Linked DNA regions of Rhinolophus ferrumequinum. The protein of the gene in region 1 interacts with the protein of each later gene in a pairwise test. Links are inferred from orthologs where the notes say so. Each region holds a gene or a part of one and is shown in the gene's direction. Other genes may lie near its edges. The genes, in order: ZC3H12A and AHSP.

Region 1 (3,913 bases):
AAGTCAAGGAAATGATCAGCACAATTAGAAAGGCTCTTTAGGATGAGGGGAGGAGGATGCAGGGGAGGAGGCACACAGAGGGTCTGTTTTTTAAGTTCGGTGATAGATACATGGATGTTTTATTATTATTATTATCTGTTAAGCTGCCCATGAATAGACTATACGGTGTCTTTTACAATAAACAATTCTTAGGTACAACACTAATACCAACCTTACAAGATACTACCTATGATAAGGCGGAGAAAATGTAAGTAAAGTATTGGCTCACACAGGATACACTTGGTATTGAGTGCTTTGGCTCCCTGGGCCTCAGTTTTCCCATTTGCAAAGTGAGCTGGTAGCACTGCCAAAAACTGGTCGTTTAGCTTGTGGGTTCTCTGTTCCGTTTGTACACACACACACTTGAGCGCAGGTCCCAGGCCTCACCCTTCCACCAGAAGAGTCTCCCCTCTTCCCTAGGTCACTGGTGGTTTCAAAGTGGTAAAGGTGGCTGGCAGCTGATGCCCTGGAATGGGAGCTCTTGGTCCTGGTTCCAAGTCTTTCCAGCTGGGGCAATTAGCCTTTTCTGAATTTCTCAAGGGTAAAATGGGCATAATAACCTCTGTCTTCTTCCTCACCTAAGCCCACGGGTACATATTGTAAAGTGCTGTGCTCAGTGTGGGATCATGACTGGTTGACCTGGGAACCTAAAAGCATTCTTGTGGAGGGGTGGGTGGCCTCTGTGAGTTTCAGAGCTGTGTAAGACAGCATGCTGTGAAAACTCACATGGCGACTGGTGTAAACGCACGTTCTTTGCCTGGTTTTCCGCCTCCTAATTGTGTATCTGCTAGTTCTACGTACCTATCTTTCTATCCTGGTAAGGTCCTCATTTCAGAAAACTCCTGGCCCTGAGTGCAGCTCAGGGAATCTGTGTACCTGCTGTATGTAGTCACGGTGTACCTGTTGAGTGTTCCTGTCTCGATCTGAAAAGTGCCTGTCTGAGCGTACCTGTCTTTATGACTAAGAACCTACCTCCAACGGTGAGTAGACCATCCTGTGTACCTGATTCACTCAATGCGTCTCTGACTGTACCTTAGTCAGTCGTGGAGTACTTGTCAAGTATCTGAACGTACGTGGCTGTACCTGTCCTTGCATCTATGTACGCATCTCAGTCAGTCGTGTCTGGTTCAGCCTGTGCTTACCTTCCGCATGCGGGCCGTGCACTCCCGCCCTCCTCATCTCCTCTCCGCCAGGGCCTGGAGACCTACGGAAGGGGCTGCCTCCCCTGGTCCCCCGCCCCTATTCCCGGCGGGGCCCTGAACGCACAGCTGCGCGGGGGCGGGGCAGGGGCGGGGCAAGGCCGAAGGCGGGGCGGTGGGGCGGAGCAGGAAGGGGCGGTGGCCGCCCCGCCCCCTGGGTCGACTTGCTCCTCCCCTGCCCGGCTTCCGCGTCAAGGTCCTTAACGCAAGCTCTCCGCCCACCGCCCCGTATAAAGGCGCCGCGGGCCTTGCTCCTGGGACTCGGCCCCATGGAGACGCCACCTGCTGCGGCCGGCGCACGGCGGGGTGAGTTGCGCGCGGTGGTGGGGCAGGGGCGAGGGCCTCAGACTGGGCAGAGGAGGGGGCGGGGAGGGCTGCGGCTGGATACACCAGACGAGGAGGGACGTAGGGCCGATCCTCTCCGGCCTTGCCTATCCTCAGACCCCTTCCAACTTAGCCCAAGTTGAAGGAACCTAGGGGAAGGGGTACCAAGCTCCGGAGCTCGGAGCTGGGACAGCCTCCGCGTCACCGAGGTAGGCGGCCAACCAGAGTTTCCCAGCAACTTTTCTCGCCTGTGGGTCTCCCCGGAAAGTTCTCCTCCCCCGGTCCAGGAATCTGGCCACCGGCCCTGCGCCTCCTGGGCCTGGCTCCGTGAGCAGGGCGGGCAGGCAGAGGCGATGGCCTCAGTGGGGAAGCCCCCGCCCCCCACACACACAGACGCAACGCACTTCCAGCCCGGGGTTTCCATCCGAGCGCCCCGCCCCGCAGCTGTGGGAGTGCGGCGAGGTTCTCTGAGACCTCCCGAGATTTGTGGGTCCCCAGAGTTGTTGTGGGACTGCGCTTGGGATAGAGATGGAGTCAGACTTCCTAAGTTCAAATCCTTTCGTCACCAGCCAACAGCCGGATGACCTTGAGCAAGTTCTTAATGGCTGTGGCTCAGTTTCATCCTTTGTACCATGCAAACGATGATCCCTAGCTGGGAGCACTTTTGAGAGGACTAACAGAGGTAACACAGGAAGATGGATTTGCACAGTGTCACCAGTGTTGCCTCATCCTGTTGGGTGGGGCGGATGGGAGAGAGCCATTCCCCATCCCTAATCCTCGTGGTTCTTCTACAAGGAGCTGTGACAGGTGCCTTCCACCAGTCTGAGTTGTGAGTGGCCGGTGGAGAGAGGCCCACCCAGGAAGCCAGCCCCGCCATGAGTCTGTGGGAACTTGAAGACAGTCACAGCTACCAAGGTACCCCCAGGTCGGCCCAGGAGCCCCCTGCTGAGGAAGCAGCCACTACCGAGCTGCAGATGAAGGTGGACTTCTTCAGGAAGCTGGGCTACTCATCTGCTGAGATCCACAGCGTCCTGCAGAAGCTGGGGGTCCAGGCGGACACCAACACAGTGCTGGGCGAGCTGTTGAAACATGGGTCAGCAGCTGAGCGGGAGCGCCAGGCCTCACCAGACCCCTGCCCTCAGCCCCCTCTGGTCCCCCGAGGTGGGGGCACCCCTAAGGCTCCCATCCTGGAACCCTCAACCCCAAAGGAGGACAAGGAGAGCAGTGACCTAAGGCCGGTGGTCATCGACGGGAGCAACGTGGCCATGAGGTACGTGTCACTTCTGTGGCCAAGATGTGGCCAGGAATGGTGGGTCTCTGCACCTCGGGTAGAGGGGCCTTCGGAAAGGAGTTGACCTCTTCTCACACACTAGTCTAGAGGAAGGAAAAGCTCCTTATTGAGGCCCTACTGCGTGCCAGCAGGCTCCTGTCATCCTTGGAAGTGGGTTGGCTAGGAATGTTTTAGGGATGAGAACGGGGGCTCAAAGACTTGCTCAGGGTCACACTCCTGGGGAGCGGTTGAGCAAGGATTGCAACTCGGGTCCTCTGTCTCCAGAGCTCCCCTTATGCCCTTTGTCTCTCCCCAAGGGCAAGCACTCTCTGTTCTTTCCTGTGACATGAAGCAGTACAGTGGAAGGGATCAGACTGGGCTCCCGCTCACTCCTAGAGGAGCCAGGAGTCACCTCCTCTCTGAGCCTGCGTTCCTCCTCCATCTGTTAAGACAGGGCTAACCCAGCCCCCGGTTGTGAGGAGTGAATGCAGTGCCTGCAGAGGAACTGCTCAGGAAACAGTAATAGTAGTTGTGAGTACAGTTATTCAGGGGCTGGGGCTTCTGAGGCCTATCTCAGACTTGGGCTCGCATGGAAGCAGGCCCAGCTATGGAGGCCTTCGTAGTTGTGACCAAGCGTGACCTCGAGGACCTGGCTCTGTGTGGGAGATATAAACGGGTGGCCTAATGCTTTGGTGTCAGGTGAACTGTGACTTGGGTCCATTCTGATTTGGCTAGAGCCACCTGGGCTGGACTGGGCTCTGGGAGCTCCCTAGGGCCAGAGCCAGGACCCAATCCCAGTACTCCTCCCCCCATGCTTTAACAGAATGGGGTGGGATGGGGACAGGGTTGCTCCTGACCCCAGACAGCCCAGACCCCTGTTCAGTCCAGGCTCTGCCCTCCAGCCTTCTTTCTCTCAGTCCCTCTAAGGTGGGCTGGTGAGTCAGGCCTGGCATATCATTCACAAGGAAAAGTTCCTGTGGGCATGGACAGAGAGACTCCAGGCACAGAGAGTGGAGTGCTCCTTCACTTTCTGCTCTCCCGGATCTGCCTGGTGGGCTGCTTGAGGCCCCGAGGCCCTTGG
Region 2 (2,479 bases), on another chromosome or scaffold:
TGATGCCACTACAGGGTATACTCAGAACACTGAACTGTAGTCGTGGAGAACAGATGAGCACTTGGCAGGGTTTAGGGCTGGTACTGGGTGTGACTACAAGGGGAGAACATGAAGGAGTTTTGGGGGCGACGGAAATGTTCTATATGCTGACTGTGGTAGTAGTTACACGAATCTATGAATTAAAATTCATAAATTGCACACCAAACAGAGATCAATTTTGCTATATGTTAACTAAGAAAATGCTATAAACAAAAAAGCAAATCAACAAACGTCTAATAGGTGCCTATGAATGTTGGTTTTTGAGTGCTGAAAGATGTGACAGGAAATAAATCTTTAATGCTGGTTACTTTGTAGGGGGAGGGAGCAAAGATGATCACCTTTTCTGAGTATAAAATACACCTTTTTTGTATTGTTTCATGTATCTCAGTACATGATAATTCTGAAATTTGGAAAACAGTAGGGAACTACTTAAAAAGATGTTTCTGTTTTGTCGAATACCTGATGATATATTAGAGAACAAGGTAAATATGTCTCCTTGCAAAGCACAGCCTGGTGGAGTTCAGTCCTCATGTCTTACAGATGGCTCGTTTGCAAAATGTGACTGCTTGCGTAATAGGGTATTTTATAAGGATAAATACTTTAACAGATGCTTGAAACAGTGCCTGGCATAAATGATAAAGATAATGTAAACTGTTATTAATATATCACCTAGGTGTTGGGACAATAATTGCCATCACAATGTAGTGATGATTTAAAAGTGCCTGTCATGAAATGGGGTCAGGTAATGTTTGTTTTGTTAGCGTTTGGTGCCTGGATGGTGGGGTGCGGGGCAGAGGGCAAGGGTCTGTCCCTGGTCTGGTTCTCCGCGTCTCGCCACTTATCTGTTGTTTCCCAGCCTTGCTATCTTTCTAACTTCAGGGAAGCCTCTCCCTCCTTTCCCCTCCCATGCTTGACCTATCACCCGCCTTCAGACCCTGATGCAGGGCGTTTCCCTCTGAGGCTGACACTTTACTCCTCACCTACATCTAGCTTGGCACAGAAGGACATACATATCCTGAAAAGTGTGGGTGAAAGCACCTTGCGACCTGAAGGTGAGCCAACCTGGTAGAAGGTGGTTTCAAATCAGGGCGGGGTTTGAAAGGTATCTGAGGGAAGTCGTCCTGCAGGTTACCAGGAATCTTTAGGGGGAGTGGGGAACTGGGGGAAATACCCAGGGATGAGGGGAAAGGATACTTAAATTGTTTTTCTCTGCACAGGCAGATGGCGCTTCTTCAGGCTAATAAAGATCTCATTTCCACAGGAATGAAGGAATTTAATGTTTTGCTGAATCAGCAGGTAAGCCAGGCATTCTATTCCAAAGGACAGGCCTGGGGTGGTAGATGGTGGTGGGTGAGGGCAGAGAAGGGAGGATAATTCGGAGCAGAGAGAGTAATGGTGGAATTGATAGAAACAACTAGAGACAGGGAATACAGAGAGAAGAGGGTGTCCGGGTTTGTGGGTTATTCCTGAATGACACTGCTGACCACACTATCCACCCTCCCCACCCCCCAGGTCTTCACTGACCCTCCAATCACTGAAGAAGCCATGGTGACTGTACTGGACGACTGGGTGAACTTCTATGTCAACTATTACAGGCAACATGTGGTGGGAGAAGAGCAGGAGCGGGACAGGGCTGTGCAGGAGCTGCGGCAACAGCTGAGAACGTTGTGCGCCCCTTTCCTGGACAAGTATAAGGCCTTCCTGAAGTCTCTGTAAGCGCCAAGCTTTTCTCCTGGCCCAGAGAGCTAGGCCTGCGTCTGCGAGAAACCCTGAAATCCTGCCTCTGAACCCTTCAAGTCCTCAGGCTCTGCGCCTTCTTGGTGTTATCCACCTCGACACCCCAATAAAGGCCCACACTGGTATTGCTGGTCTTCCTGGCTCTTTGATTGTCTGTCCCTGACTTGGTCCCTTTTCCTTCAGACCGCCTGTAAAAGCGGCTCTGGCCTCTGGAGTCTCCATCTCAGCCCTGTGCCCCTTCCTAACCAGGGCGCAGAGAGAGGGCAAGGTGGCCCCTTGCATCGCGGGGCTGACCGGTGGGACCCGGGCGCCCCAGGAGGACTCCCTGGGTGGGGGTGCTCGGGCTCTCTGGGCCCGGGGCTTCTCTGCCGCGGCCTACGGGTGTCACTGCTTCGTTGCGAGCCTGGAACAGCAGCGGCCGCAGGGCCGACAAGCGCGGGTCACCGCAGGCTGGGGCGCCCCGGTCGCTGCCCTCCCCGCCTCTCCGTCCTCTGCGTCCGCCGGGCGCCTGGCCTCCTCCGCCCCGCGCCTGCGGTCCTGCGGCTGCGGGTGGCTGCAGCTACCGGTGGATGTTGGCAGCGAGCGCGCGGGGAACTTTCACGCCGGCTGCGAGTGCGGGGCCCGGGCTGCTGTCGGGCTGCCTGGGACCCGCGGTCGGAAGCCGATCGCCGCCTCCTCTGCGCAGCGGTCCGGCTGCCGCCCG

The links.
Region 2: the proteins of ZC3H12A (region 1) and AHSP interact in binary tests that used the Homo sapiens proteins (3 or more experiments, as listed by UniProt). The two-hybrid records come from large-scale screens. The link is inferred for Rhinolophus ferrumequinum from reciprocal best matches to the Homo sapiens genes ZC3H12A and AHSP.

The regions. Positions count from the first base shown.
Region 1 is NC_046292.1:26,175,385-26,179,297, forward strand, and holds the start of ZC3H12A (endoribonuclease ZC3H12A), read left to right. Parts: upstream 1-1,419; 5' UTR 1,420-1,544; intron 1,545-2,357; 5' UTR 2,358-2,437; coding exon 2,438-2,832; intron 2,833-3,913. UniProt on the Homo sapiens protein: Endoribonuclease involved in various biological functions such as cellular inflammatory response and immune homeostasis, glial differentiation of neuroprogenitor cells, cell death of cardiomyocytes, adipogenesis and angiogenesis.
Region 2 is NW_022680357.1:35,772-38,250, reverse strand, and holds AHSP (alpha-hemoglobin-stabilizing protein), read left to right. Parts: upstream 1-976; 5' UTR 977-1,091; intron 1,092-1,256; 5' UTR 1,257-1,260; coding exon 1,261-1,335; intron 1,336-1,551; coding exon 1,552-1,755; 3' UTR 1,756-1,901; downstream 1,902-2,479. UniProt on the Homo sapiens protein: Acts as a chaperone to prevent the harmful aggregation of alpha-hemoglobin during normal erythroid cell development. Specifically protects free alpha-hemoglobin from precipitation.